Linked DNA regions of Rhinolophus ferrumequinum. The protein of the gene in region 2 purifies or fractionates together with the protein of the main gene of each other region. This does not show direct contact. Links are inferred from orthologs where the notes say so. Each region holds a gene or a part of one and is shown on either strand. Other genes may lie near its edges. The genes, in order: ACVR1B, SMAD7, RNF111 and WWP1.

Region 1 (7,618 bases), on a different chromosome or scaffold from region 2:
ATCATTTGGCGCCGTCCCATTTCCTCTTCACTTCCAATCAATCTTGTAGTTTCTATCTCTTTAAAATCTGTTGAATCTATTTCTCTTTCCCGTCTCCATTGCTGCTGCCTACGGTCTTGTCTGGGCCACTAGAATTGCCTCCTCTTTGGTTTCTTTACCACCAGTCTTGCCTTCCTCCAACCATCTGCACTAAGTTCAAGTTCATTTGGTTCAGCAAAGCGGTCTTTCTAAAACACAAATATGATCAATTTACCCCCTTGCTTACATCCCTTCTAAGTACACTGGAGAAAAGTACACTTCTATGTGCAGTTCCATGTCTATTTCTCCAACACTACCTTTCAACTCTATCACCAGTTCCCTTCACTCTGCACTCCCTGGGGGTACTGCCTTGCTGCTCTTGGTTTCCCTAAATGCCAGGCAATTTCACCTCAGCATCTTGCTCACACTGCTCCCTCTGCCAGCAACAATCTCCTGCCTTCCCTTGCCCCAGACAAGCCTGTCTATCTAGGGGACATTCTTTGCTCTTCCAACAGTCAGCTGTAGTATGGCCTGTTCGTGAGATCTTTCCCAGCTCCTCGGCTTGTCTCTGCAGAGTTGAATCATCCATGTCCTAAGTGCCCCCATGGACCCTCTACAGGTGTACACTATAGCAACACATTGTTGCTTTTTAAAATGCTTGTCTCTAGTAGATTGTAAGTTACATGAGGGCAAGGATCATGACTTACCTGTTTATATGTTGTGCTGGGTATGGTGTAGGTGTTTAACAAGTGTTTGTAGAATGGATGACGGAATATGAGCTGCTGCCTTCGTGGGATTAATGACCCTGCTGCTTGCTCACCAAGACAAACTGTGCTGGATCCCCTAGGAGGTGGGGTGTCTTGATGCACTGCAACCAAGATGGCAGCTGTACCACCAGGTGGTCTAGTCAGTGGAGCCTGGGGAGTAAGACTTTTTCCTGGAAAAGTGAGTCCTGGCAGCTCCGGGGAATCTCATGACAAAGGGACAGAACAGGGCTGACTAGAAGTTCATAGATTGTGATGTGGGTCCAGCCCTAAGATTAAAGGGACTTACAGAAATGGACACTTTGCTGAGGCCTTCAGGGATGGTAAGAGAGCCAGGCTGCACCAAGGAGCACAGGTAGATTGGACACTTTGTCCCCATGCAGCTTGGGACCTAAAAGGCAAGGTAGATGCACCACCTAGGAAAGCTCTGACTTGAGCAGATACCCCAAACTCTCAGGAATAAGATGTGAAGAATATAACAAACCTCCCTCTCCCACCCCATCAAGTCGAATTTCCCACCTTCAGCTGGCTCCTGAAGACCAGTCTCTGAACAAGCACGAGATGCTGCGATGTTGAAGAAGCACAGAACAGGTAGGCTGTGGCTTTAACACTTAATTATATGGGAGCCTGGGCAAGTCGCTTACCTTCCCTAGGTCTCAGTTGCCTCGCCCATAACTGTGCACACCCTGACATGCCTCAACCACTTCATAGGATTGTAGTGAAGGTCAAATCACCATCATAAGAATAGCAATTCTTTTTATATCACTTCCTGTGTGTCAGAGACTATGCTAGGTGCTTTACATACAATATCTTTATCCATCCTCACAGCCTATGAGATAGAACTATTATGATGAACTCCATTTTATACATGAGTGAATTGAGTTTTAGGGAGGTGAAATATCTTGCTAAAGTCAAATGCTAGCAAGTGGGCTGATGGAGGTGGCATTTGGTCTGTGGACCCAGCATTCTGGTTCCCTGGGCTGTATATTCAGGTACGCGGCTGACCTTGCAGTTTAGGAGGAAAGCTACTACAGGTGTCCTCTGGGATTCTTGGTCCTGCAGCCACAGTGGCAGCCCTTAGCAAGTTTAGGGAAGAACAGTCCCTTCCCCATGGCCTCAGAGTCATGCTCCTGAGGGGTCAGCTTTCTCTTCCCAACCACAGGGGTTGGTGAATAGACTGTTGAATAGCGTCCCCCCAAAATTCATGTCCACCCAGAACATGTGAATGTGATCTCATTTGGAAATAGGATCTTTACATATGTAGTCAAGCTATAATTACTTCAACTTGGGTGGCTGGTTAGCTCAGTTGGTTAGAGAGCAGTGCTCCTAACACCCAGGTCACCAGTTCGATTCCCACATGGGGCCGTGAGCTGCACCCTCTACAACTAGATTGAAAACAATGACTTGACTTGGAGCTGAGCTGCGCCTTCCACAACTAGATTGAATAAAAACAACGGCTTGACTTGGAGCTGAGGGTCCTGGAAAAACACACTGTTCCCCAATAAAAATTAAAAAAAAAATTACTTGAACTTGGGCCCTTATCCAATGACTAGTGTCTTTATAAGTAGAGAAAAATTTGTACAGAGATACAGACACAGAGGGAAGACGACCATGTAAAGACGGAGGCACAGATTGAAGTTATGCTTCCACAAGCCAAGGAACACCAAGGATTCTGGGAACCACCAGAAACTAGAAGAGACACGGAAGGATTCTTCCCTAGATCCTTTGGAGAGAACATGGGCCTGCTGACACCCTGGTTTCAGGTTTCTAGCCTCCAGCACTGTGAGAGAATACATTTCTGTTATTTTAAGCCAGCCAGTCTGTGGTGTTACAGCAGCTCTAGGACACTAACACCGTCACCTAGCACTGGGCCCACCACAGCTGGGAGCCCTAAGGGTGGGGTAGGGCAAAGTTTGGGAGATGAGTTAAATGGACTAGACAGAGGAGGTGCCCATGTGGGGGGCAGTGAGGGAGAACAGTATAAAAATAAGGTGTTTACTCATCCAGCTACACTGACCCACTTGTAGATAGTGCCTTTGCGCGACTTTGTACATGTGTCGGGGGGAGAAAGAGTTGTGTTTGGGGAGTGTGTCTGCAGTCTTGTGTATTTTCTGCTGAGGATGGGTGTTCTTCAATTGGTGACAGCTTACAAGTTGAGAACTCCATTTGAGAAACTCCTCCTACCACCCTGTTGTCATCATCATCTCCACCCCTACATCTTAGACAATGAAATTAGGCTTAAAGAGGTTAAAAACTTGCCCAAGTTTTCACAGCCAGTTAGTAAGAAAAGGAGAATTCAGATCCAGAACTGTGGCTCCAAAAACCTGACCCTTTTCACTATCTCAAGCTAAAGAAAGTGAACTCTTTTTCAGAAAGATATGGTGATTCAGCTTACTTTTCATAAGCATTTTTTTCTAAATTTGAAAGTAACACTTGTTTATTTATAAAATATTTAGGAAACACTGAAATGTTTAAAGAAAAAGTAAAAAATTATTCTGGCAATAGCTACTGATAATACTGGATAATTTCCTTCCGTTCTTTTTTGCATAAAGGTAGATATTATCAATAAAATTAGGCAAATATTGTAAACAGTTCTGTATTTTGCTTTTTCTTCTTAATTTTTATTACAGTTATCAGGGTGACATTCGTTAGTAAAATTATATAGGTTTCAAGTGTACATTTCTATAATACATCATCTATATATCACATTGTGTGCTCACCAGTGAGAGTCAGTTTTCCTACCATCACCATGTATTTGACCCCGTTTTCCCTCTTCCACCACCCCCTTCCATTTTGCTTTTATGTTTAACATGCTCTCATTTATCATTATCATTCAACATTTTCTCATGTCATTAGTTTTTATAAAAATAATTTTTAATTACTAAATACTACTCCATCATATGAATGGGCCGTAATTTGTCTTGTTATTGTCTACTTAAGTTTCTAGCTTTTTACAACGATACACATGCAACAGTTAACACTTTTAGTAAATATTTGTCCTCATCTCTATTATTTCTTGAAGACAGATAGGGGATAATACCAGGTATGAATATTTTAGGGCATTTGATACATAATGCCAAGTTGTTTATCAAAAGGGTTCTACCTGCCAGCAGGATAGAAGTGCCTCATAAGCACCCTTACCGAGACTAAGTACTATCATTAAAAAGCCTTGCTATGTTCTGGAAAGGGGCATCCCATGATTGATCACACAGGTTGCTGAGCGTCCAGAGGATTGCAGGGGGAAAATCAGTTAGCAGACGGTTGCGAGGATCCCGGTGGGACGTGAAAGGGCTCGGGGCTAAGCAGGAGGGGTGAAGGGAACGGAAAAATGCACGGGACTCGTAGAACATTCGATGCGGGGGAGGGGGTCGGTGCTGATAAGATAACCTGCGCTGGGTGGGGTGCAGAGGAGGGCCGAGGCTGCGCGTTCTGCTCCGCCTCCTCCGCGTCGCGCTCACACCCACCGGTGAAGGGGGTCGAGGGGCGCACCCCTCCCACCCCTTTAACAGGGACACTCCCCTTTAAGGCGGGCGCCCGCGCGCACCCGGCCCCGCCCTTCGGGGGCGCGCGCGGCGGCCGCAGCGCCGGCTCCGCCGGGAGCGCACGTGCAGGCGCCGGGCGGAGGAGCGGGAGGCGGGAGCGGGGCCGCGGGAGGAGGGGAGGCGCCGGGGGCGCGCGCGCGCGCGCTGGGCGCTGCTGGGCTGCGGCGGCGGCGGCGGCGGCGGCGGCGGCGGCGGTTACTATGGCGGAGTCGGCCGGAGCCTCCTCCTTCTTCCCCCTCGTCGTCCTGCTGCTCGCGGGCAGCGGCGGGTCCGGGCCCCGGGGGATCCAGGGTGAGTGCCGGGGCGGGGGGCGGGGGCCGGGATGGAGAGGGCCGGGCGAGGGCAAGGCCTCACGCCGCGGCGCCTGGGCTACAGCGCGCCCCCTCCCCACGCGCACAATATGGCCGGGCGGGGGGCGCGGAGGAGTCGGGGTGACCCCCCTGTGGCTTCTCCCGACCCCCCGAGGCTCGGCTGCCCAGCCGCGACCGAGCTCGCGCCGGACCCCTGGGGACCCGACCCTTCTTCCAGATGGAGCTGGATTCGGGGAGCTCTCGGGGGTCGCGCTCCCAGCACCCTCATGTTCCACAGAAGGGAGCGCAGGCTTCCTTCCCCCAAATTTGGAGATCATGTTTCTGCCCCTCCACTTGTCCAGGGGCGGCGGTCTTCATTCCCTACCTCCAGATGCTCCTGGGGGACGCCTTTTCTCCCGCCAAGATTGTGGGGCAGGGGCGATGGGGTCTTAGCTTCTCCGAGGTACCCTGATGTTGAGAATCCTTGGGCATCTCAAGTCAGAGTGGAAGGGGTCTCGAACCTTTCCTTCAGATCCTGCACTTGGGGCGTCTCTTCTCCCTCCTACCTCCCTCATGTTCTGGGGAAGGGAGTCACATTTCCCCTTCGCGCGGTCCCTTGAATTCAGTGGGGCAAACACCCCACCTCCAGTCCACACGCCCCGTGGAAGCTCTTTGGAGGAATAGGGACGAACAGGCCCCTCAGCCGTTTTGGAGCCTGCCTTTGGAGTCTCTCTCACCCTGGGAAACCTAGTTCCAGAACGGGCAATCAGCATCTAGGTGTATTTGCTTTCCATCTTGCCTCCCCCACCGCACCCTAGGGGGCCCATTCAGTTACTCACTTCATGGATGCCTTTGAATCCTAGAAATTCTAGAACCCGCCTTCAACCCCCAAGATTATTTAAAGATCCCACCTCTGGACGGGCTGCCTGGCCCCTGGTCAGTACTTATTTGCCTTCCCACACCATCCCTCTTCCCCACCCTTCTCCCCCCACCAAGTCCTCCCCCCTCCCCCAGCCTCACCTTACATCCCCCACAGCCGGCTCTCCATACCACCAGCCGCCAGCCCACTATGGAGGTGGTTACCTTTCTGTGGGACCCTCAGCTGGGTGTGTTGAAGAGGCTTTGGGGGCCTGAGAAGAGCAGATGAAATCCTAAAATATTTAATTGAAGAGAGTCGTCCCCAGTGTGTTTTGGCATTAGGGTAGCAGATGAAGGTTATATTTGGCGGTTATATTGAAATGATTATTGACCCACAGATGGATCTGGGAGAGACTGTCAGGATTGTATTCGCTCCGATGTACAAAGCCTGCTGCTTTGACTTCTCAGCAGCCCCTAGCCTTCCAGCAATGGGAGATGGAGTGTGTGTTCTGTGGCTCTCTTCGCCACTAAAAATAATGATTCTCAGGTGGGTTCAGGCTTCTTTAATAGACCAGACAATCAAGAAAAGACATTATCCCACTTTGGAGTCTCAAAAACAAGTTCATTATCTCCAGGTTTGATATTTGTTCCCAGTGGGGTAGCCTGTGCAGTGGGGTCTTTGTTCACTGGCTAATGCTTCTGTTAAGCACCTCGTGTGTGTGCCTGGGTTTCGCTGCTCTGTGCCTGGTAATATGCCATGGGTCTGATCAACATGGTGAAGGTGTGTGAACACAGCCTGACGATGGTGGGTAAGATCGTGGTTTTTGTGAATAATATTTGCTGGGCCTTATTGTGGGCCATGTTTTTGGAAAGGGTCATGTAATGTTATTTCTCTAGTGGGGTGGTAAATAAGGAGACTCGGCCTTCAGGTTGTCATTTCATATGAGTATGAATAAATCTTTAAATTCCTTCCATAGGAATTTTTATCTTGTCTCTACTATATCCAAGATTTTTAACAGCCATTTCTCTGTTGATTTAGTGTAGTGTCTGTGGGGCTTTTCTTGTTGTGAGCCTAGTTAAGAATGTTTAATTGATAATCCAGCTGGTTCTGAATAGGGCAGAGTTCATTTTTTTTGTAACCGTCCTAAAATGGATGTTTGTTGGGGTGAGGATGGGTGGTCATAAATAGGGAATTAGTTTCTTTTTTTGGTAAATTGGAAATTAGGTTGTGTGTCCAGCAAACATTCTCGAAGCCTTTAAACTTCTTGGCCAGACACTACAGTTTTTTCCGGGACACATCTAGTTGCCAATAGTGCATGCTACAGAGACCACTGTTGCAAAAGGCTTAAAATAAAACGTCAGTTCTGGGAAAATCGAGGCTGTGGGATAACAAGAAGTTGATTGCTTTCCTCCCCTGCATTTCCTCTGTCATGCTTCCCTAGGTGGGCTGGAGGAGTGGCAGAGCCAGGCAGCTGATGCCTGGTACTTGGACATGACATGAGGGCAGCAAGGGATAGGTGTTTCTATTAATTAGTGAATTAATTTCGACTTAGGAAAAGGCCAGTGATAAGGAGAATGAGTTCCAGGTTTTAAACAGCATCCATTTGATAGATGTATCGTGTTTTTAGGCCTAGCTTTGGAATTTTCACGTTACTATTTAAAAATGTAAAATTGCGTTAGTTAGTAGCAGGAGAGCATGACATTCATTTCTTAAGACAAAAGCAACAAGGGAGACATTTGAGGTTCTGATAGGAACATTTTGAATTTCTGTGAGCAGGCTAAACATCTCATTTCAGGCCAAGTCTTGTAATTTTGTTGAGTGGACATGGATTTGAAGTACAGTGAAAGTGAACTCTTAAAGAGAAAAGGGGAATCTCTGATTAGTTTTATTAAAAGAGCTCCTGGAACAGATATGATTAAAACATAGTAAGATGGTTAAAGGTTACAGCCAGATGGAGGGAGGAGGCTGGTTTTCCGCCCCAGAACTTCGCTCCCTTACAGGTTGTCCTTGAACAAGTCACTTAACCTTTCTGTGACTGCCTCGGTTTTCCCTCTGTAAAGTAAGGAAACAGTCTGTGTCGCTCTGATTGGGACGTTTGTGAGACTGACTTACTGATAGCCAGTTGGCTGGGAGGTATTTTTAGAC
Region 2 (8,594 bases):
TATTTTCCAACACTATTTTGGCCTCTTCAGTTGTTTCTGCAAGGAAAAATCCTTATCCCTGCCTCACCCCTGCCCTGGGCCCTACCAATACACACCTATATGCACCTCTCTGCCCTTCTCTTCCAGGAACCACTGAAATCGAGAAAAGCACTGAAAGGAAAAATCCTGTCTTCCCTGGACAGGAGTGATTTTTTTTTTTTTTTTTTTTGGCTTTTGCTTAGGGTTGCTTGTAAGTATGGAGAGTTTTGTAAATTCTCTTGTTCGCTTTCCTCTTTCTCTCTCAAGTCAGTCTCCCCCTGGCCGTTGTGTAGGGTTCACCTGCTTCTCCTCTACCTCCTGTGCACTCTGGGGCCCTGACTGCTCAAGACCCGGGGCTTGGAGTAATTTCCCTCTGGCTTCCTTTCTCCTCTAGATGCTTAGCCAGCGGTCAGTCAAGTGGCAGCCCCTGCAGTCCTCAGGGGCTGTGATCACTGCCAAGGGCCAGTGATTAAGTAGCCAGGTCTTGAGCTGACTCCATCCTGGTTTGTCATAACTCTGCTGCAAGTTATTTTGGTCTCCATGACTTGTGGCTGCACCATGATTACGGTTTGATATCTATCACCAAAGTGACTAAAAGATGAAAATAGAAGCCACAACAGGAAATAAACAACTGCAAATGAGATATTTTATTCCATATTCCCTGCCAGCAAATGATTAGAATCAAACTCATTCACAATAGTTTGGTGAACTCCTAAACTTTTTCTTTTTTTTCTAAAGGATCAGAATATTTTGAAATGGGGTGCTTGTTAGTCTCATTTGGACCTGTGGAAAGGAAAGGAACTCCCTTTCTAGGCACACCAGCCAGCCAGGAGTTCCTCTACAGCCCAGCTTCTTTCTTGGAAAGGAATAAGAATGTGACGGGGTGGGGCCGGCTCTCAGGAAGGCTTGGGATATTAACTGATTCAGGGAATGCCAGGGAGCTAATAAAGCAGCACCAACCATTGTAGCTACTTGCCCATCATCCACTTAGGGCAGTAAAATGGAGGAGGAAAGCTGTGTAGAGAGGGCAAGATAGGGGTGACGCCTGAATTAAAACACCCACAATTACACTGTATGGGAACATATCTCTGCAAGTGTATGCATGTTCCACCCAGACAAGCTGTGACGTCAGATTCAACTCCTGAAACACCCATTAAACCTACCTGCCCTGTGTATGCTCTGGCCTCTCATCACAGGGTGTCAGCACCATTGGCCAGATTTCCAAGTCTTTAGGTTCTCCATTTAGCCAAGAAGGCTTACTTCAAATGATGACATTTGCTTTCTCTGTTTATTTAAGTCCTTCCTGTCACTTTGCAGCCTGGCCTAGCCTCTCTTAAAAATCAAAGATCTTCCTTCCACAACTAGATTGAAGGACAACGACTTGGAGCTGATGGGCCCTGAAGAAACACATTGTCCCCCAATATAATTTTTTTTTTTTTTTTTAAAGTTAAGATCTTCTAGTGAGGCCTGGAGCACAGAGAGGGAATGGGACCCTGAGAGGGCAGGAAACTTGTCCAGAAAGCTTTTTAAACCCTGCCAAGTGCTCTCCTAATGTGAGGATCAACACTCATGCAAGCTATTTAACCAGTGAGTCGCAGAGCCCTAGACAGGATTCAGATTTTCTGACTTCTAGTCTGACTTGTAAGCTTTTCTAAAATTATACATTTTCCAGACACCTCAAAAATCCCATTTCTGTGTCTTCCATCTTTCCCTGCCTATGCTGATGGGATCACCCACAACCAAATCTCCCCATCCTCCATTTTCTCTTGGGCTTTCTGGGCTGCTATCTTTACAGGTTGCCTCTTTAGAAAGTTACACACACACACACACACACACACACACACACGAAGTTTCAATGCCCTTTTCAATAAACATTTTTTTTTAAATTTATTGGGGTGAATAAACATTTTTATTTGTAACAAAATTATGATTTTATACAATTGCAGCCTATATGGCCTTACAAAATAATGTTGAAAGCGCCAACTTCTTCCCTGTCCTTCAACACATTTCTGCACTGTTTGGCATCTTTTAGGTCAATGAGCTTCAGGACCCCCTTGCCTGGAGATGGTCATGTAACCATTGTTCCTGATTTTCTCTCATTTATTTCTCCAAAGGTGCTTTTGGTGGGCTTGAGGTGAGCGGTCCAAATGCCCCTTTAAGTTCCATTCAACTCTGTTGATTCCTAAATATTTATTGAGCATCTACTGCATGTCAGACACCTTTAAGTTGCTGGAAGAGACGGGGCTGAGCTATAAAGCTAAGATTCATCTGTCTTTTCCTTTTAAGAACGTATAATTTAGCTAGGAAAATTAAAATAGTGCATTTCACCTTTTCTAAAGATTCATTAAATTCCCCCAATGAGTTTCATTGTCCTCCCGATCGCAAAATTCTAAATGACTTTTTTTAAAAAATCTTATTTCACTGAATAAGATGTGAGTTTAGATCACCATGCCAACTAGTGTCCTCATCAATACTGATGCCTATACGTTTAAATTTACATTTCTCGGTACCATCTGCTTTCACTAAGTAAACGCTTCTTCTTGTCCTTTGCCTTACCAATGCTTAACCCATTTCCCTGCAGTTATCTGCCAGCGGGTCTATGCTTCTCTCAAACCTGGGGTCAGGGGATAAACTCTCTGACCTAAGCACCTTGAAAGACACGGGGCCGATCTGGGCGCGGAAACAGGCCCGGTATGCATATGCATATGCTAGGCAGGTTTACTCCAAAGGTAACCTTCCCCGGCCGAGAGGCGGGGTGGCTGAGGTCTTCCGGGCTCCAGAGGAAACCTGCCGGCGGCGGGCGGGCGACCCCCGCCTCCTCCCGCCAGGATGCTGCCCCTTGCAGCTCGTCAGCCGGCCAAATGCATTCCAGAGCAGCGCACAAGACACACTTCTCCAGGCAGTCCTAGAAACCCGAGCCCGGAGCGGGAGAGGGCGGGAGGGAGCGCGCGGCCGCCGCTGAGGTCACATTCGCGCCGCCTTCCAGCCCTCAGCAGCCCGGCTGTTCCCTCCAGTGCACACCTCCCAGGGCCTCCGTCCAGTCCGGTGTAAATGTCTTTCAAATCGAGACAGCGCTGTCCTTCCCGTTCCCTCCCGCGCGGCCAAGGGATCCGCCGCCAAGGCCTTTAAAACAAAACGAATGAATGGAAGCGCTAGGGTGAGCGCGTGGGACAGCCACCGCGAAGCTCCACCAGCTGGGTCTAAATCGGGCCACCGACCGGCTTGTTCCGCTCCAAAACTCGCCGGCGATGCCCGCTGGGTGCTCTCGGGGCTTCCCATTTCCCCTCTGATCCGGCCAGTTCTCAGCCGATTCTGGGAGCTTTTTTGCTCCCCACCTTTATTCGCCCCCCCCACCTATAGTCCCCCCTCCCTGCAGACTTGGGAGGGGGTGGCGAGGGCAAGGGGTGGGGGGAAGAAATAGCTTTTAGAAACCCGATCTGTTGTTTGCGAAACACAATCGCTTTTTTTTTTTTAAAGCGACAGGGTGTCTAGACGGCCACGTGACGAGGCCGGAGCCGGGCGCGCCACTGCGCAGTGGAACCAGCAGAGCAGAGGGCCCGCGGGGGGGGGGGAGGGAGGAGGAGGAGGCGGCGGCGGCGGCTGGGGGCGGGGGAGGGAAGGGGAGGAAGGGGGAGGGAAGGGGGCGGGGGCGGGAGGCCTTGCGGGAGGCGACGAGCCCGGGGCACACTCGCTCGCTCTCTCGGCTCACGGAGGAGCCGTCCTCGAGCCGCGCCAGCCGAGCCAGCCGGGCGCCGTGCTCGGTCCGCTCGCCGAGCGGGAGAGAGCTGCGGGAGACAGAGCCAGCCTGCCGGCGCCGAGCTGCCGAGAGCTCGGCCCCGGAGCCCCTGAGTGCTGCGCGGCGAGCCCCCGGAGGCGGCCGAAGGACCCGAGCGCCAGGAGAGGGCGGACGGGGGACAAGGAAGCTCCCGGGCGCGACGAGGAGAGTCTCGGAGGCGGAGGCGGCGTGAGGACACCAGGGCCTCCTGCCGCCGCAGCGGGGTCGGGGCGAGTAGCCCATACGGGGAGCCCCGGCAGCCAGCCGCGGCCAGGGGAGGGGGCGCCGGCGGCCCCCGCACTAGCTAGCAGCTTGCGCCCAAGAGGGCGAGAGCGCGCGACCCGCTTGGGGCCCGCTGCCGCCGCGCCGCCCTCCCCCGCGCTGTCAGCCCTGCCGGGCGCAGCCGCCGCAGCATCTTCTGCCCCTGCGCCCCCGCCAGCCCCGAGGAAGTCCCCGCCGAGGACCGGAGCCCTAGGGAGCGCAGGAGGAAAGACCAGAGACTCCCCTAAAACACCCAGATGCGGAGACTTGAAGCAGCCTAGCCAAAGCTTTCTGTGGATTAAAAATATATACGATTTTCTTTTTTGGGGGGGGCAGAAGAAAAGGAGAGGAAGATCAGCGGGGATCTGCAAGGAATAAAGGGGGATGTAACTCGTGGATACGTTTTTTCCACCCTTCAAACGTCTTGTTCTACTTTGTAAACATTTTTTTTTAAACCCCAGCTTCTACCGGACGGCCCCCGACCTCCAGGGTGTGAGGAGGTGGTGGTTTTCATTTTTGGGCTTTGCATATTTGGTTCTTAAATTTTGAGAGAGCCTCCTTATTTCGCCAGACATCTCATGCGGGTTGAAGTCCACTCGGCCCCCTCCCCCGAGTCTTCTTGTGCACGGAATTCGAGATCTGGTTACTAAGGATATAGAGGAAAAAAATAAATCGCGTGCCTCCCTTTTTTTTTAATTGCTTGCTTCTCCCCACCCCCAAATTAAGTTGCTTAGCAAGGGGGAAAGAGGGTTTTTCCTCCTTCCAGCCCAGCCGAACGCCTTTCGTTTTTGCCCCCGCGGATCTTCCATGTAGGAAGCTGAGGCTGGCGAGCCCGACACTTGGAAGCCGCTGCGGGGGGGCCTCTTTTTTGGGAGGCGCCGGCCCGGGCAGGCTTCGTCGCCCCCAGGGAAGCGGCAGCCGCGTTCCTCCGGGGTGCGCCGGGGCCCGAGAGCCGCGCACGGCGCGGGCGGCGCGGGGTGGGGCAGCCGGAGCGCAGGCCCCCGAGCTCCGGCGGGCGCCTCCGGGCCCCCGTGCGCGCCCCGGCCTCCGGGAGACTGGCGCATGCCACGGAGCGCCCCTCGGGCCGCCGCCGCTCCTGCCCGGGCCCCTGCTGCTGCTGTTGTCGCCTGCGCCTGCTGCCCCAACTCGGCGCCCGACTTCTTCATGGTGTGCGGAGGTCATGTTCGCTCCTTAGCCGGCAAACGACTTTTCTCCTCGCCTCCTCGCCCCGCATGTTCAGGACCAAACGATCTGCGCTCGTCCGGCGTCTCTGGAGGAGCCGTGCGCCCGGCGGCGAGGACGAGGAGGAGGGCGCGGGGGGAGGCGGAGGAGGAGGCGGCGAGCTGCGGGGAGAAGGGGCGACAGACGGCAGGGCGCATGGGGTCGGTGGCGGCGGCGCAGGCAGGGCTGGCTGCTGCCTGGGCAAAGCGGTCCGAGGTGCCAAAGGTCACCACCATCCCCATCCCCCAGCCGCGGGCACCGGCGCGGCCGGGGGCGCCGAGGCAGATCTGAAGGCGCTCACGCATTCGGTGCTCAAGAAACTGAAGGAACGGCAGCTGGAGCTGCTGCTCCAGGCCGTGGAGTCCCGCGGCGGTACGCGCACCGCGTGCCTCTTGCTGCCCGGCCGCCTGGACTGCAGACTGGGCCTGGGGGCGCCCGCCGGCTCGCAGCCCGCCCAGCCGCCCGCGTCCTACTCGCTCCCCCTCCTGCTGTGCAAAGTGTTCAGGTGGCCGGATCTCAGGCATTCCTCGGAAGTCAAGAGGCTGTGTTGCTGTGAATCTTACGGGAAGATCAACCCCGAGCTGGTGTGCTGCAACCCCCATCACCTTAGCCGACTCTGCGAACTAGGTAAGAAGTTGTTCTGCGCCCACCCTCCCCTCCCCCTGGCGCTCAAAGTGGGGGAAGAAAAGCCCCGTGGGCTGTGTGTTTGTGCAGCCACCTCTCCGGAGGGGAGTGTACAGTCTTTCCTGGGAGGAGACTTGGGGACTAAAGTAGAGAAGGAACACGGGGAAACTGGAAGGGCATTCCCTGGGGGTTCCCTTCCATTTTTTTCTCTTCTGTTGCCTGGAGGGGGGCTATAAGCAATGTTCATGCACGTTCTGCAGACACGCGGTTAAAAATTAGACGCCCTCATTTCCGGATCAGCTAGGGGGTGCACAGAGAAGTAGGGGTCACGCCTCCCCCGAACCCGGAAAGGCGTTGAGGTGTGTGGCCGAGTTGGATTCGCTCCAGGCCCGCCAAGGAAGGCTGGGAGAAGCGAGTTGTAAAGGCTGGGAAGTCTCTGCTCCTTTAGTAAATAAGGAGAGTCACGTAGGGCACAAGTGGCCCGGATACTGCCCTGGCTGCGCAGCTTTGGGGATTTGGGTTAGGTTAGGATGGGAGGATGAACTGGGTATCTAGTCTGAACTCTGTAAAGAACAAGGAGTCGGGAAGTTGGATGTCCCCTACTTTTCCTTTCCTCTAGCACAGGAAAGCACAGAAGTGACCTTAGGGTGGTCTGCCTGCAGCGCCTCCGTGACGGTGCTGCCCCTAACTGCGCTGGGGCCTGGACTGAGACCCCAGTCTCCTTCTCTGTGTCTATCCAGCCTCTTCCATGGCTTCTCTTTTCTCTACGTCTGTGTGCGGTGCGGGTGTGTGTGTGTGTGTGTGTGTGTGTGCGCGCGCGCGCGCGCGCGCCTGCACCCGGGATGCCCAGAGATCCTCCCAAGTTACCAGCGCATTTTGGGGCGCGTCTCCCGGGTGGGCTGGGAAAGCGGAGCGCTGCATTCCCCGCGCGGGTGCAGACCCGAGCCGCGGGGAGCGGAGATGAATTGCGCCCCTGGGGGGCGGGCCGCGGCGGCGGGTGGGGGGAGGCGGAGGACGGTGGATGCGGAGTCCCAAGTTCGGGGACGGGGAGGGGGGGCTCTGTCGACCCCGGCTTTGGAAACGGTGAAGTGCGCGGCCTGGCTGAGTCGCGGCCGAGCGGGTAGTTTCCTGCCGGGCAGACTGTGCGCGGCGGCGGCGGCCGCAGACGTGGAGGAGCGGAGCGCCGAGGCTGGCGCCAGGCGGCCTCTTTTGTTTATCTGACAGCTAAATATCAAGGCAATCACCGCCTCGCGGCCCTGCCTCCAACCCCCACAGCTAAGACAAACAGTTGGGCTAAAAGAATGCCTCTGTTATCATAAGTTTCTATCTCTCTTTCTCATGGCTCGGCCTTTATTTTTTCTTACTTTTTTAATTCCAGAGTCTCCCCCTCCTCCTTACTCCAGATACCCGATGGATTTTCTCAAACCAACTGGTGAGTAGATAATTTTAAAAATATCCTTCCTCTCTTAAGTTAGAAACGGAGCCTCTAGAACGCGGATTTTTTTTTGTCCCAGGCAGCGGCTTCTTGGGGAGGCGCTGGGTTTTCGCGGAGGTGATTATAGGTTTCCTCTGTTAGAAGTTTGGTAGATTTTTCTGTTCTTGTGGCTGGAGATTATATTATATACGTTTTTCCCCCCTCAAAAACGTTATCTAGATATATTTTACAATTTGTTCCTTTTTCATATATTTGCACGCCATGACCGAAGTTGGCTCAGATTTAACACATGGAATTTGACCCACACAGAAGTGTCTGGGGAACCAAATAAGATAGGTTGATGGGAAAATTCGGAGACTTTGTGAGTGCCAGAGGAGTCAGTGGGAAGAGTGGATAATTTCAGGGAAGGGAAGGCAGTTTTTAAAGGTGCAGAGAAGACTTTGGCTTGGAGTAAGAGGTTAGAAAATTTAAGAAGTAAAGGCAATACCTCTGCCCTGGTGTCCCCTGCAAGTCAGCACTCCTCCCGTGTTTTCTCAGAATTCTTGGTAGGTGCTATGAAAGTTTTTAGCATAGCTCTGCCTGCCTGTTGCTTTGTCACCGGATGGCACAGGGCCAGGGCAAAAGCTCATTTGAGACTGGCACCAATCCTCTTGCGGTTGTCTGCATTCAACTGGCTGGCAGTGCAGGGGCTCGCCCTATGGAGCTGGTGGGGGTGGGGGGTGGAGGAGCAGCAAAACTGGGACGTGGGGGTAACAACAGGGATGGATGGCTCCTGTGTCCTGGAGCCCCTTCTTACAGTGGGAGATTCATTAGCTGAAAAGTAGGGATTGTAACTTTGATACTGTGTGCCTTGTATGCTGGTGCCTGAAAAATGCAATGTTTGTGACTTTCTTTTGCCAAGCTTCTGGGAGAAGTGAAGGGTTGGGCCTCCTTTTGCTCTCGGAATTCTACAGGTCCTTCTGCCTCATGAGTTTTGGCTGTTGGGCTTTCCCCCCCACTAATTAAAAGTTCTGCTGGGGTGTTGTCATAAATTAAATACTTTAATGAACAGTGTAACCGAAGCCCACAGCCCCCCCTCCCCCCCAGCCCTCCAGGGACACCACCGCTCCCTCAAGTTGGGAAGGCGTTGCTGCTTGCCTGATGCCTGATGCCGGTCTAATAAGTGGCCTGCAAAGCATGTGATATTTTGCTTTCGATTTACAAAACACCAGATAAATGGTCATTAATGAGGAGATAACCAGCTCTCTGTATTTGTAACAA
Region 3 (7,568 bases), on a different chromosome or scaffold from region 2:
CTGAATTTTGAAGAGCTTTATTTGCCAAGCTAAGGACTTAGGTCTTTATGCTGATGGTGATGGAGAGTCCTTGAAGGATTTTAAGCAACTTAGTGTCCCAAGCAGTTTCTGCCATATTCTGATAGTGGTTTAAGGTTAAATCGGGAGTGGTATGGTGATAGTGGTGGGAGCTGCAGCATAGAAATCAAGAAATTATTGTATGTAATTCAGGTGAGAGAGATCTCCCACCCCAATAATCTACCATTATTCCCCTAAATACAACCTCATTTCACCTGTTTTCTCAGTCTCACGCCTTTTCTGCTCTGGGCTTCCCGCCTTTGATTTGTTGCCCATCTAATAACCGCCCTGCCGTCATGTTAGTGACTATTCTGATTTTTAAAATCTCTCTCTTCTAATTACTCTCCACCCCGCCATTTCAAAAACCTGTTATCTTAGCAGATGGCCTTACCTCACATTTCACAGAGAAATCAAGGTCATTCAATGAGCCAAGTCCTCAATGTTCCCCCTGAAGCTAACACACTTAATTCATTTGTACAATCACTTCCTCCTCCTCCTCACCTGTTTCAATGAAAGGACTCTCCTTTCTTCTATCCAAGGCTAGTTCTTCCATCTGAGCTTTGAATCCCATTTCCTGTGCCTCCATGGAGCATCCCTTTATTTTCATTATCTTTCATCTCTCTTTCTATGCTGACGTGTTTCCCTTCATTTCTATCCTTCTAGATATGTGTCCTATCTTTTTCCATTTACTACCAATTTCATGAAAAGTACTGGTCATTGTCTAACTACACTGCTCAGTCCTTTCTAAACCAGGGTTTCTCAACTTAATATTGGCATTTTGGACCAGATCAATCTTTGTTGTGAGGGGCTGTTCTGTGCATTGCAGGATGTTTAGCAGCATCCCTGACCTATATTCACTAGATGCTAGTAGCGTCTTTCCAAAATATCTGTGGACATTGTTAAATAACCCCTGTGGGTCAAAATCACCCCAGCTGAAATCCCGTTCTAAAATATAGGACAGTTGCTGAAGCTGCTCTTGTTTACAGATATCCTTATTGCCAAATTAATGGACAGTTCATATTGTCGATAACACACTTTGATACTGAAACTCTTTTTCTTACTTGGCCTATTTCCTACTTCTCTTGGTTTTTCTCCCTTTGCTCTGGCCTATCCATATACTTCTGGAACTTCTTTTCATTCTTCGACTCTTAAAATATCAGACTTCCCCAGATATCTGTCTCTTCTCACTTATACTCTGGGTGACTTCATTCAAAAATTTCGATTCAGCTATCACATAGAAGTTAGAGTCCAAATCTCTGTCTTCAGTCCAGACCTCTTTTTTGAGCTCCAGACCCATATATCCAATAGCTTACTGGAATCTTTACTTTGAGTAAATATTAGATACCTCAAACTCAACTTGCCCAATAAAGGAGTAGTTGTTTTCTTTCTCTGAACCTTTTTCCTCATGCTGACCCCAACCAAAAGTCCCAAACCCAAAAAGTTGGGTTTTGCAAGCCTGTGTTTCTTTATTAAATGGCACTACCACCCCATATATCCAATTAGTTATTAAGTCTTCTTATCTCTTGAATCTGTGCCTTTTCATTCTCATTTCCACCACCCTCCTCACTTTTACCTGCCATTCCAACTGGTCTTCACTCCTTTACTCTTGCTCCTCTCCAATCCACCCTCTATTTGGTTTATAAATGGGATCTCTAATAGTCAAATCTATTATTGCTCTGATTGATTTCCTTTAATGGCTCCCAGTATTTTAAGTATAAAATTGTTCTAATACCTTATCCTAGCAAACACAATCTTACTTAAGTTAGTCCATTTCTATCTACTTTTTTTTCTCGCAACTCTTGATAATTTCCCCAAGATACATTCAGTAGCTCCTAGTAGAGAATTTGCTTCATGCTGTTTCAGGTACAGGATTCTGTACCTTAGCATGTGCTGATCTTTCTGCCTCGAATGCCCTTTAGTTGTTTTATTTAACTATTTTTATTAATGTTGCAAAATTTAGTTTAAACATCACTGTAGTTTAAATATCCTGCTGGTTTGACTACTGTGTTCTACCTTTGTATTCTCAGAGCACTATTACACCATCCTATCCCTTCCACATGACAGTGTAAATAATAGATTTGCTTTCTGGGTCTCATAAAACACTGCAAGTAAGGCAGTGATTATTTATTTAGTACTCACAGTGCCCAGCACAATGTCTAGCACATTCTAAGTACTTGATAAATGTTTGTTAAACAGAATACTAAAGACCTAGACTAGTGCAGAGTATGGAGAGGAATGGGTTGATTTTTGATATTTGAGATATTTGAGAGGCACACATGGAAGGACTTATATAATAGATTGATTAGAGGTAGAGAGTGAGGAAGAGGGAGTAATCAAAGATGACCTTGGGGTTTCTAGTTAGATAACTTGGTCCTGTTGACTGAGGCAAGAAAGGCTGAGATGGATCTGGTGTAAATACAATATACCTCCATTTATTTATTTGTTTGTTTATTTATTTATTATTTTTGACATGATGTGTTAGAGATGCTTGTGGGAGATTAAAGTGGAAATGACATATATAACAAACAGCCATATGGGTTTAGATCAGTCTGTGCTGTCCAATAGATATATAATGTGAGCTACAAATGTAATTTCTAGTAGCCATTTTTTAAAAAGTGAAAGAAACAGGTAAAATTAATTTTAATAGTATATTTTATTTAACCCTGGGGTTTCTCAACTGTGCTATTAACATTTTGGGCCAGGTGATTCTTTGTTGTGGCGAGCTCTCCTGTGCATTGTAGGATGTTTAGCAGCATCCCTGGGCCTCTTGTTAGTAGATGCCAGTAGCTACCCCCCCCCCCCTAAGTTGTGAAAACCAAAATGTCTCCAGATATTGCTGAATGTCCTGGGGGGAGAGGCAAAATCATCCAGGCTTGGAACCACTGATTTAACCCAATATATCCAAAATATTATTTCAACACGTAATCAACATTAACAATTATTGAGATTTTTACAATGTTTATATTGTATCTTTAAAATTGAATATATATGGTTTTCACTTACAGCATTTCTCAATTTGTACCAGCTACATTTCACATGCTCAACAACTATATGTGGCTAGAACCTACTTTATTGAGGAGAACAGCTTTAGAAAAGCTGGCAAGAGCTTTAGAAAAAATGTTAGGTCTGGAAATATAGGAACAGTAGGTCTGGAAATGTACAACTCTGAGAAGTTAAGAGTCGATAACAGTTAAAACCATGGCAGTAGATGAGAAGTCCAGACAGAATTTTACATTTAGAGTGAGAAAAGAGGAGGATTGAGGAAAATTCCTAGTACAGTGCTCTTCTAGTTTCCGCACACAATCTGCTATCCTTTCTTCTTATTATTTTAAAATATTTTCTTCACTGAACAAAATTGAGAACATGAGTGAACAAAAAAGGTATTGAGAAAAAGTTTATGACAAAAGGAATTAATACTTATTAAACACTTAATTGGTAAATAATGTCTGAAGCATTATATAGAATGTATTTTATCTCACAAAAAAAACCCTTTGAGGTAAATATTATCTCAATTTATAGAGGAGGAAATTGAGAATTTTTTGTTTTACATATGCTTTTTCTAAATTGAGGTGTATTTGACTTTTTTTTTTTGTGGAAATAGATTTATAAAAGACTAATACATCAGACAGCTAATTGGTATCCCTGGGATTTGAAAGGAAGTCTGATTCCAAAGCCTACATCCTCCTAATGCACATAATGAAACTTTTGCTGTCCACTGATTTTCATGAAATAAGGAGGCGTGTATGATTGCACAGACAGTTCTCAGGATATCTATGACCACTTTTTATCTGATTCTGGAAGCAGATTCATCTTAACAGTTAGGTGCCATGATCTTTGTCATCAGCGAGTATGATTTGGGTATCATTTGTCATTAAACACTAAACCATGATGTTTTTGTTTAATTGTACCGTAAATATGGTCAATAATTCTGTAGTTAGTTGTAATTTTTAGTTACGAAAAAATTAGCTAAGACTTATGTAGTCAGTGTTTTGCTTAAATACCGAACGCACAATCACCAGGGAAAATAAAATACTGTTACAAGCTTCAGGACACCATTCAGCTTCACGAACAGACCGATAAAGCGAGTACAAAGGGGGAGGGCCGGGAAGGAAGGGGCGGGGCAGTGAGAAACAAGAATCTGAGCAAGCGCAGAAACAAACATGTTAATAGAGGCGTGAAGGCTACAGCGCTCTCACTTTCCGAATTGTCGTAAAGCCTCGGAGTGTCGTGCTTGCTTGGTAGAGGAGGGATTGGTAAGGCGGCGGCGGCGACGGTAGCGGCAGAACAGCAGTAGTGGCGGCGACGGTGGCGAGGTTTTCTGTCTGTGCAGCAAAGAAACGCCCGCAGCTTCGGGGAAGGAGTTCCTGTGGGACCAAGTTAGGCATCTGAACCCAAGCCGGGTGAGCTGGGCCGAACCAGGCGCTGCAGCTCGTACAGTTTTGGTGGCGGTGACAGACGCTGCTCTTTACTATAGGGGCCTATTAGGCCGAGATCTGAAGCGCAGATCATTGGCTCTCGACACATCCTTTTCCGCCCTTATATCTCCTGTCTGCCTTCCTGGGCCAGTGATTCCAGGACCCTGGGAAGAGAGGGTGGCTAATGATTAAGGTGAGGGGGCCAGGGGGGAGGGGATCGATTGGAGGCCGCGCGTGCGCGCAACGGGGGAGGGGCCGGCCTGGAGGGGAGAAAGAGGAAGGGCTGCGGCCGCGGAAGGCTGGGGTCGGCGACCGGCCGGTGATTGCTGGCTGCGTAATGACTTAGGGTCTGGGTCTCCGCAGAAGATCTAATTGTGTTTGAGCGAAGCATTCGTCTACAGACACACCCACACCCCACACAGTAAGGGAATGTGGGTAAGGGGATTTCTTTTTCGACTCTACCTAGAGTCTTAGGATGGGGGCTGAGGACCGAGGCGTGGGTGTGCGATTTGACAATGGAGTGATGAAGGTAACCCGCACCCGGGGTGTTGGAGGGCGCTAAGTCAGCCTTCACGGTTGGGGAATTGCCTTCTTATGTGATCAAGGGAACGTCCCCGGAACAGCAGAAATACAGACGCGTTAGATTTTCTATAGAGTTGGCTTGGTCATTAAAAAAAAAAGCTTGATATTCTTATTCTCCTTAGATAATTTATCAATCAGTGACAATGCTGTAGTGGAAATAGCTGTTCTATACGGCAGAAATAGAGGGTTTTCACAATAGTTGTTAAGTAGGTTATAATAGATCTTTACAGATACTTCTTAACGCAAGTCTAAGTTTTAACGTTTAAAAAATACCAGGAAGTATAGGGTATTCATTTAATTTGTTCATGTTTGTAGTGTGGAATGACTCCATTCATTGTATTGTATGCTTTCCTGTTTCTTGATTTATGTGCAGTATGAATTTAGGACTCTGGAGTGGTAAGATGCCAGCTAACAGACTTTATAGTTCTTACACCTATTGAACCTAACTTAATCCAAACTTTATTTCATTTGTTATTTTATGTTTAATTTTCTTGTTTTAGGGACATCTTCAACTAAAAAGAACAGACGGGAAAAGCTAAAGTTCCATTTCCTTTCCCACTTTTGTTGTGTCATTGCTTTCAAATGTTACAATGTAATTTAAATAATACACAGAAGTTCTATAATAATGGTTTTACTTAGCTTTATAAGGGTGAAGATCTGCATTTTGATAGTTTGTTACTCTATGTATTTCAGTAAAAATTTTCATGTCATAAATAAACCATGTTTCTCATTCTAAACAGTCCTTGGTTGTGAGACAAAACAGGATGAGAAAGAAGCCCTTTACTCTAAAAAGAATCTTAAAAAAAATTTTTTTTTAAAGCCTTGTATTATTTTACATTCGTCTGTCTCTCTTGTCATTTAACTTAGGACAAATGACATCTCTCTTGCTCATTTGTTTGCTGCCTAAGATACAGAGTAGTATTCTAAGAACTAGTGAGCGTGTTTATGAATCGGTCTGAACAATATTGTATGAAAAACTAGAAAGAGTCTCTCCTTGTTCATCAGGGGTGCTCTATCTTATATGTGTGGATTCTTCCGTCACTTTTTTCCTTTTGTTTGGTGTCTGTTGGTCACTTGCATGTTAGTTCTGTCACCGGAATTGGTTTTTGAAGAAGGATATAATCTCATTTTGGTGAAAAATACATTATACTTGACAAATTTTACTTCAGTACTTTATTTCTACAGATAATTGAAAAATAGCTATAGTGATGTTTTAAAATACAAGAATGGCAGTTTACGACATGTCTAAAACAAAGGTATAGTCAGCAGATATTCCTAAATAGTCATTTTTACTTTACAATGTGGAATAAAAATCTCACTGAATCAAATTAGATTTTTTTAGATGTTTCTTTTATTATCAAAGAAGAGTTTCTGTAACATGGTTTATTTAGAGCATAATTATATGTGTTTCTGTTTTGACTTTTATTCCAGTGGGCTAGGATTTCAAAGGAGGGGGATGACAATACTAAAAATGGTAGTAATTAAAGTATGTTATAACTTGACATTAATATTCTATTGGTGACATGTTATGAAAGAGTATAGGGCTAGAGACAGGACATCGGGATTTTAGATCTAGCTTTGCTTGCTAGTCATTAGATCTGTAACTATTGATAACCATCCTGGGCTTCAGATCTTTCTCAACTTTTAAATGAGAAGTGTCGGCTAGATAGCCAGTTGTCCCTAGGTCTTAAATTTAATGATTTGTATTTTTAGTTAGGTGTTTCTGGTGTTTATTGTTGTATTCATCGTGATCCAATCTCCAGAAAGAAATGCTATACTGAGAGTATAAATTCCTTCATGATACATACTGTACATTAGGAAAAGAAAACTATGGTGAAGCCATGTTTGTTGTTCCAGGTAATGGTTCTGTCCCATTGTAGATATTAGTCATGATTTAATAGCTCTTATATGATACTAAAAAATGAAACTTTATTTTACTCTTGATAATGCTCTTTAAATCATCCCGAATAACTTTTCTTTCAGAAACCTATGATCACTGTTCAGTAAAAGTCCAGAATTACATTTGAATGCCACGCACCTCTGTCCTTTCTTTCCTGTATCTCAGATTCTTGCAAATAGCTGGCCCAGGTTTCTGCAAGTACTCTAAACCATTACATGAGGAGTGAGCTACAAATGTTTAAAAACAAATATTACTGAGCTTACGTTTTTAATAGAGGTACTGCATTATCATTTAGTCATTTGGTAAGTATTTATTGAATGTCTCATGTTCTTGGCATTGTTCTTGGTCTTCGGTGAAGAAGGCACTCTGCACTTAGTGGAGTGAACACTAGCTGGGGGAAACGGATAATAAACAGAATAGTTTTAGGTAGTGGTTAGTGCCTTGAGAAAATAGGACTATGTAATGGAGAATGAATGGAAGTGGAGCTTTACTATGGATTGAGTGGTTAGAGAGGGCCTCTTTTTTAGAGGAAATATTTGATTTGCGATCAATGACTAGAAAGAATCAGCCATAGTGACAATCTGGAGGAAGAGTGCTGCAGACAAAGAGAACAG
Region 4 (8,118 bases), on a different chromosome or scaffold from region 2:
CTTGATAAAGGCTTTCTGAATGGAGGCGTATTCTTCAGTAGGGCATACCTCAATAGAGAAGATACAAGTTCTGACAGTTTTTTATTTCACTTGCTTCACTTCCCCCCGCCCATCCAAAGGAATAAGTAAATGATTGGTCTGATGTCACTCTCTATATGCCCAGTTCATTCCTCAGCCTCACCAGCTCTCCCCCGCACATGGAAAACAAGGTACAGATAGTCCAAGGAAAACCTAAGACCCCAAATCACAAAATGTTAAGAACTGGAAGGAACCTCCCAAGGATCATCTAGACCCCACTGATGAGGTCACGTAAAGGCAGTAACAATATCCAATGATGGTAAATCAGTTGCATATAAAACATCTTCATACAAGAAAGCAACCATCACTGTCAATCAACTCCTGATTCCACTTTACCCACTCATGATTGAAATACTCAGGGCAAACACTTAACCTCTTGGGCTAGTTTGCTCTGTAATATAACAGCAAATAAGTCAAAATTCACTGCAAACCACAATACAAGTGTAAGGAGATACTGTCTCTAGGTGTATCTACAGTATGTCTCTACAATAGGGGTTCTTATCAGTAGTGGAAGAATCTGAAGCTTCTATTGTTTTAAAAGGCCCCCAGTAATTCTGAGAGCTGCTTCCAAGCCCACCCACTGGACCAAGGGTTCCATGGATGAGCTTCAGGTGGTCCACGGACAACCTCTAAATTTACAACCACAAAACACAGGTGCATATGGAAATTTTCTGGGCCAGCAGATTACTTTAATTTCATCAAGGATTACTAATCCCCAAATGACTGACAAGTACTGCTGCAAAGTGACAGTCACGTGCCGAAGACGAAGCTTCCATAGAGGTTGCTCAAAATGGTATCACTATATTCTCCCAACCAACCTGGATCAGAATCATAGTTATTTTCACTTTCTTCATTTTCTCTTTCATCAGCAGTTCTGTCTAATCCACTTCCTTCCTCCTTTCCAGTCCTATTCTTACCGGCCACAGCGCAGACACCGCTACCTATGACCACAGCAATCCAGAGGTCTTTCTACCCCCAGGTTCTCTCTATTCAATTCACACAACACAATGTTGCCAGATTGATCCTCTGAAAACAAAGCTTGTAATCGTTACATTGCTAACTCAAAAATCATCTGTAAAACCCCCACCACGTACTAAATCCAAGGTCATTAGCCAGGCATTAAACGCAATAATAAACTGGCCCACTTTCTACTTCTAGCTTTATCCTCCTTGTTACTGGTACAAATACTTTATGTTCCATCCCAGCATAATTACTTGCCTCTCCCCAAATGTATGACGTCTGTGCTGTCCCTTCTCTGCCTGGATTACACCTTTCCCTGCCTAGCAAGGGTCTTAGTCATCCTTAAAACAAAGATTTCGGAAGCCAGAAGCTCTACAACTAACCTCCCTAACCCCACCTTGCCAAACGGGTTGTGAGCTCTACCCCTTCTGAATTTGGATTCTGGATGTAGCTTAACTATCTGTTAAAGGACAAATGAGGCATTTGTGTATAGTCCCATCTGCCCAACTTGTCTGTGAAGGCAGAAACTGTTATCATCCTCATCTTTATATTCCCCAAAATACCGCACAATCGCACGTATGGTAGTAGGTGTTCAATAACTGCAAAGGAGTAAAAGAAATTTCAGACTTGGTGGGGTAAACAACAAAGATTTCTATCTCTTTAAAAGCAGAGACTTTATCTGTGACATTCTCTAACGGGCATGGCCTCCAAAAAACATAACCCTTCCTTTCAGCTTTCCAAAGCCTACGTGTTGCAAAGAAAAACTGTGTGAAAATGTCAGTCAACTACATCTGAAAGACCTCCTCCACATACTTTTTACACTTCTCAACCTGAGTACCTCCCAACGCTCGGCCACTAAGTTTCAATTTAAAAAATATTAACTATTTATGAAAAGTCATCATTTCCAGTCAGAGTTAATTTAGTCCTTTATAGCTAACAAACAAGTCACATAAATAAAAGAATGCCTTTCTTTTCTAAAAAGGTGCATTTTGTTTGTATAATACACCCAGAGACCTAGTGAGACAGATCAAGTGGATGTACACGCGCCGTGTGACCTCTTGCCGAAACCCGCATACAACTGCTCACCAGGTATTTCACGTAAAAACACCAAAGGGCCCGAAAGATAACTCTGGACATTATTCTTTTCCACCACTCCTGCCAACAGCACATCAAAGCAGACACTCAAATCTTTTTGAACATGAGGCTACACAGAAAGATACAAGACTTACCAAATAGAAAAAGAAAGCCACGTCAGGCCCCTGGAAATGATTTTACTTGGAAGAGTAAAAAGGTCACAAGAATAGGTACTGCTCTGCTCTGGTTGAAGGTTTCCTATAATTACGGGAGCGAAGGAGGCTGCACTCCAAATCGATGGAGTGAAGAAAGGACCGTGCAGGGCACAAGCCCGAGCCTTTCCACGCAAGGGGCAAACTACGAAATTCATGTTTGTGCATAAAAGGACGCCAGGAAAAGGTCCCAGTCACCGATGAGATAAGGACCAGTGAAAACTGCAAGGTCACTGGGACCGACCGGGTCACCGAGGTGGAGGTGGGGTTGCGTTGGGGCGCTGCAGTCCGCGAGGACCCGGGAGTGACCCAAACAGCCGGGAAGAGGCGTCCCAAGGCGGGAGCCCTGCGCCCGGGACGGGCTGAGGCGCGAGTCGGGGCACCGGCGGGAAGTCCACACTGGTGTTTTCGGAGCGGTGTCAGGGAAAGGGGGACGACAAGCTGAGGAGGCTGGACAGCCGCGGCTGCAGTCACGGAAACACTTCGCGCCGCTCGGGTATCATTCGCTCGGGCCTGGGCCAGGGCGACTCGGGCGGACTCGCGACCCCGCCCCAGACAAGTCCGGCCCGGCGGGCGGGCAGCCTCCGAGGGTCCCGCCCGGCGATCGGTGCCCGGCCCCGCGCCCCCCGCCCTCAGCCCGCGCCCCGCGGTCCTCACCGACTCCCCGCGGCCTCGCAGCGGCGCGTCCCCCGCGGCGGCGCCTCAGCCCTCGGCGCCCAGGACCGCCATCTCGCCGCAGGCGCGGCCCCGCAGCCCAGGCCGCCCGCAGCCACTCGGATCAGCTCGCGGACACCCGGCCCTCCCCCCACCCACCCCTGCCGCGCGCCGCCCCCGCCGACCCACACCTCCCTCCTCGGGAGCGCGCCTCCCCGCCGGCCGACCCGCGCTGCACCGCGGCCGCCCTGCCGCCGACTCTGGACCGGATCGGGCTTCCCCGAGCATGCGCAGCCAGCGAGCCCGGCGACGCCTGTGGGAAAGTCCGCTGCTCCGGGTCTTCGGGGCGGTCGGGGGACAGGGAGCGCCAGCCAATGGGAGAGGGGGGCGGGGCCCGAGGAGCGGAGGGTGGGGCCTGAGCAGCGGAGGGGCGGAGACTGGGGGGAAGCTACTCAAGGCTGGAGGTGCATGCTGCTGACGTGACTTTCGGGCTGGGGCGGGATGGCGCGTCACCTCAAGTGAGGACCTCGGGGCACCAGCGTTCCAGTGTGGAACGCTTTACAACAAAGCTAGGCTGTTTATAAATAGTCCTTGAACTAGCTGGGCGCTTCAGGAAACCATTGCAAGAGTAAATAATTGCATTCAGCCAAAGACTTTCCAGGCCATTATTAGTCACCAAACTTTTGTTCCCCTTACCCCACCATGAGTACAATGATAAAAGTAACACTGATCAAGTACGTGTGTCATTGTAACTAACCCACAGAGCAGTCCCATAAAGAAGAGTCTGTCATCCCCATTTATACAAATGGCTCGCTCGTTTGCAGAGATGCTGTTGGTTCCTCATGTTGCGTTTAGAGAAAAAGGTCCCACTGCAAATGGAAGTCAGTGGTGACCCCATTACTCACCAGATGACCTTGTCAACAAAAGGTCGCTGCCGCCAAGCCTATGGCAATAGGAGTTCCCCATATGGGATGCCAAGAAAGGAGAAACTTTATTCAGGTAAACAGTTTGCACACCAGGGAGGAAGCCTCAGGAGGAAACCCATAGATCACACACCAGAGACAAAGGGAAACCTGCTTATATGGAGGAAGTTCCCCATTGGTGCCTGATTGGTCTATTTCTATGCAAATGAGGAATCCCAATTTGCACCGTTTGATTGGTCCAAATTGCACTGTCCTGATTGGGCAGAATGATGTGATCTGATTGGTTGTTATGTAACCACTGATTGGTCAGTAAAGATACAAATGAGGATATAGCTGTGTAGCTCCAATTGGGTGGGGCAGGCCTCAGTCCCCTTGGTCAAAATACAGTACCAGGAGCTTCTTTGTAACTTCAGAGACATAATAAAGGCTACGGAGCATGGATTTCTACAATTTTTGCCCAACTGCCTCACCCAGCCGCAACAAATTACCTATAGCTACGCCCAAGTTGAAACCTCTCCAATGTGAACCTCTTCACTGTTTGCTCTTTCCTGTGACCCTGTCCTTGTCATAGCAAGGTTTCCCGCCTTTGCTATTGGCAACAATTCCTCAGCAGAATTACGTTTTAAGTCTTTTCTGTCTTAAATTATCCTTTGACTTTAAAACCTCCTTCTAGTTCTCTCTCTTCTGTCATAACTAAGCTTTTAAAAGAATCATGTACTAGGAACAGCATCGACACTCCGTGAATATTTGTAAGAGTCGGTAAATATCTCTTGTTTGAATGAATATATATTATTTTCCACTCCAATGCATCATTCCCACCCTCCTATGTCATACCTACATGCGAGGCACAATATATATACAATGATTATTCTAAACTACCCATCTGAGCATGTCACTCCAAGGCTTCAAATCTTTTATTGGCTCTTTGGGGCTTTCAAAACAAAGATTAACATTTTCAAGTCTTCTATGTTCAAATACTTGGTCTCTCCTGTTATGAAAACGCTTCAGAGTTCCCTGACTGTGCTCACTGTTCTCTGCTTTACCGAGTACTATTTATTCTAACCTTTTCTTCACCTGTCCAGTTCCCTTAAAAATAAATTCAAGAACACACTTATTATACAAGTATACTCTCAGACATTACATACACACGCCCAGCAGAAGTCTGCAGTCCATGTCCAGAATACATACAGGCCTCCTTCTGCGTCCTGCTTGAGTCAATCTCACTTCCAGCACTTTTGAGTCCTCAGTTTCCCCCTCAGTTCAGCTCCATTCAGAAGCTCCTAGTATTCACCTAGGTCCCTAAGTTGACATCCTTTTATTGTTATATATTCTTTGGTTTCAAATGAACACTATTACAAATAAATATATTTTCATAAATCATTGTCCATGTCCTTACTTACTGTCTGTTTAAATCATTAAAAAGTAATCAAATGAATGAACAGTTTTAGCCCTTTTGAAACATCGGCAAGTTACCTTCCAGAAAGTACTTAGGCTTAGATGTCCCTATTGCGTGGGATCAAAATGCAGCTCTGCCACACAGGTCCACATTCAGACTTTCATGGGTCCTACATGCTTTTATCTTTGTGGGTCTCTTCCTCCATAAAATAATATTAAAAATTATAACTGCATTGACATAAACGTGAACTTACTGATTGCATACATTAAAACGTTTTCTTCAACCTGAACATTCAGTTGTTTTTCTTCTGATTTTAAAAGAAATTAAAACATTTTTTGTGGGCCCCTGAAAGTATAGTCACAATGAGTTGAAATAATTTCTGATGAAAGTCAAAGAAGAAAGTGCCAAATCAGCACCACATTTGAACATCAAGAAGACAAAAATCATGACTACAGAAGAAGTACACAACTTTAACATAGACAATGACAACATAAAAATTGTTAAAGATTTTGTTTCAGTCGATTCAGTCATCAATTCAAATGAAGCCTGCAGCCAAAAAAATTACATGAAAGCTGAGACTTGATAGGGAGCAATGGAAGAATTAGGAAAGATCATCAAGAGCAAAGATGTATCATTAGAGACGAAGGCTAAGAGCATCCACACCCTCATCTTCCCAATTATTATGTACAGATGTGAACGTTGGACAGTGAAGAAGCCTGTTAGGAAACAAATAATAATTCATTTGAGATATGGTGTTGAAGGTGAACTTTACGGATACCCTGGACCTCCAGAAAGATGAACAAGTGGGTCCTAAAGAAAACTAAGCCTGAAACATCACTGGAGGCAGATATGACAAAACTGAAGCTGTCCTACTTTGGGCCCATCATGAGAAGGCAGGGTTCCTTGCAAAAGACAATAATGCTGTGTTAAATAGAAGGCAGCAGAAAAAGAGGACCAAATAGGAGATGGACTGACTCCGTAAAGGAAGTCACAGGCTGAGTCTCCAGGAGCTGAGCAGGCCTGTGAGGACAGGACACTGTGGACATAACTCATTTACAGGGTCTCCAGGAGTCAGAGCCAATTCAATAGCATGGAACACACACAAAAGTACGGTGAGCCTGAGGTACTGTGCTGTGACAATTGGATAAGTCAACCCTGTAGCCACCTATGAGCTGTGAGATTCAGCCAAATTCCTTAAGTTGACTGTGCCTCAACCAGAAAACCGGTATAAGGCTACCATATGATGTTTTTGTAAAAAGTAAATGAGTTACTACAAATAAAATACCTAGCATTACATGGCACATAATCAATAAATTACTATTGCGATATTGTTATCAAATTCCCATAATACTATGTGAGAGTGTATAATTGTCCTTTACTATACCAAATTTATTGAACAAACTCAAAAAGAGTCTGGAGGCTTTGCTAGAAATAAATGATATTTATTCAAGGGTCTTGGAGTTTGCAAACCGGAAACACAGTTCGATGAAAACCTAGAAGTGTTTCAAAGAAGAAAGAAAAGTTAAAAATTTTTAGCCAAAAGTACATTTTTTAGAATTATCAGTCTTGCTTCCTTAGCCCTAAGATTGGTCCAGGACAATTATCAATCAGATGACAGGCAGGATGGTGGATGCCGGGTGGTCCCAAGAATGGGTACTAGGTATGGTCAGATCAGTGGTTTGGATAACAGATGTCATGGGGATGAATACATGAGTCCTTTAGGGGGTCATCAGGTGGCCTGGACATATGAGTCCCCGGGGGGTAATTACAGGGCTGCCTGGAAATCCACATGTCTATTCAGGCACTGACGCAGGACTGGAAAGCTCAAAGGAGTTAAAGTTTCCAGGCGAGTTAGAACAAGAATGGTCTCCTCAGGTCTCAGCCTTCATAATGGTAATAATTTCAGCAGCTTGGTTAAAGTGACTCCATTGTGTATACTCCCTATCTTCACTCCTCAAAGTCATCATGGTATATTTTTATATGGGAAATATGGAATCCTCTTGTTGGTTCGTTGTTCGTTTTCTTACTGGAATATTCGCAAAAAGGCAATTTATATATAATGTAGATAAAAGTATTGGTCTTTTCCATTTTTGTTTTCTTCTATTATATTTTGTTTCACAAGTCCTCTCCTATCCTGAGATCATGTCATTTACCTGCCTTATTTTTTTCGACTTGTTTGATAATTTCACTTTTCCATTAAATAATCTAATCTTTTTGGGGCAGCATCCATTTTGTGGGTCCAACATATGAATTAATTTTTTTCATTACTTACATGTAATAAGATTGACAATGGTGTTAAGATTACCATGGTGTCACATAGAAGTAAAGAAGTAGGATTTGAAATAGAATTTTCTATCCTATCTAAACATCTTGCAAATGAAGAGTTTTGAATCCTTCTGTTATTTTTTTTTAACCCAGTGCCTACATCAAAGTGACATTGAGGTGAAATGAATTTCCTATCTGAATTTCAACAAAAAGTTTGGCGTAACTGGGAATGAAAAATGAGTACTATATGTTAATATCTAAAGACAATGATATACTTTGTCCTCTTGTATTGACATATTTTTGAAGTGTCTTTTTCATGTATGATAGCCTTTAAAATTAAGTATTGAATCAATTGAACTTAGAACTCAAGCACATAAAATTTATATCACTAAATATTGTGCCAAGACTAAAGTAAGATGATGTCACAAAATAATTTATATTATTAATAAACATAATAAAATATCACTTTAGTTTAAAATATTTATTTTATTATCTAACCTTTCCCTTTAATTTCTAATTTCTTGCTTATGGTGAGTCCACATAAAATAGTAAAATA

What was found.
Region 1: the proteins of SMAD7 (region 2) and ACVR1B purify together in Homo sapiens (affinity purification with western blotting; 3 studies listed by BioGRID and IntAct, with this or other methods). This does not show direct contact. The link is inferred for Rhinolophus ferrumequinum from reciprocal best matches to the Homo sapiens genes SMAD7 and ACVR1B.
Region 3: the proteins of SMAD7 (region 2) and RNF111 purify together in Homo sapiens (affinity purification with western blotting; 3 studies listed by BioGRID). This does not show direct contact. The link is inferred for Rhinolophus ferrumequinum from reciprocal best matches to the Homo sapiens genes SMAD7 and RNF111.
Region 4: the proteins of SMAD7 (region 2) and WWP1 purify together in Homo sapiens (affinity purification with western blotting; 3 studies listed by BioGRID, with this or other methods). This does not show direct contact. The link is inferred for Rhinolophus ferrumequinum from reciprocal best matches to the Homo sapiens genes SMAD7 and WWP1.

The regions. Positions count from the first base shown.
Region 1 is NC_046293.1:52,177,155-52,184,772, forward strand, and holds the start of ACVR1B (activin receptor type-1B), read left to right. Parts: upstream 1-4,444; 5' UTR 4,445-4,524; coding exon 4,525-4,615; intron 4,616-7,618. UniProt on the Homo sapiens protein: Transmembrane serine/threonine kinase activin type-1 receptor forming an activin receptor complex with activin receptor type-2 (ACVR2A or ACVR2B).
Region 2 is NC_046302.1:40,149,443-40,158,036, reverse strand, and holds the start of SMAD7 (mothers against decapentaplegic homolog 7), read left to right. Parts: upstream 1-5,006; 5' UTR 5,007-5,286; coding exon 5,287-5,902; intron 5,903-7,277; coding exon 7,278-7,331; intron 7,332-8,594. UniProt on the Homo sapiens protein: Antagonist of signaling by TGF-beta (transforming growth factor) type 1 receptor superfamily members; has been shown to inhibit TGF-beta (Transforming growth factor) and activin signaling by associating with their receptors thus preventing SMAD2 access.
Region 3 is NC_046289.1:50,671,613-50,679,180, reverse strand, and holds the start of RNF111 (E3 ubiquitin-protein ligase Arkadia), read left to right. Parts: upstream 1-4,282; 5' UTR 4,283-4,457; exon of another isoform or gene 4,458-4,665; intron 4,666-7,568. UniProt on the Homo sapiens protein: E3 ubiquitin-protein ligase. Required for mesoderm patterning during embryonic development. Acts as an enhancer of the transcriptional responses of the SMAD2/SMAD3 effectors, which are activated downstream of BMP.
Region 4 is NC_046297.1:1,988,903-1,997,020, forward strand, and holds the start of WWP1 (NEDD4-like E3 ubiquitin-protein ligase WWP1), read right to left. Parts: upstream 3,119-8,118; 5' UTR 2,982-3,118; intron 2,525-2,981; exon of another isoform or gene 2,268-2,524; intron 1-2,267. UniProt on the Homo sapiens protein: E3 ubiquitin-protein ligase which accepts ubiquitin from an E2 ubiquitin-conjugating enzyme in the form of a thioester and then directly transfers the ubiquitin to targeted substrates.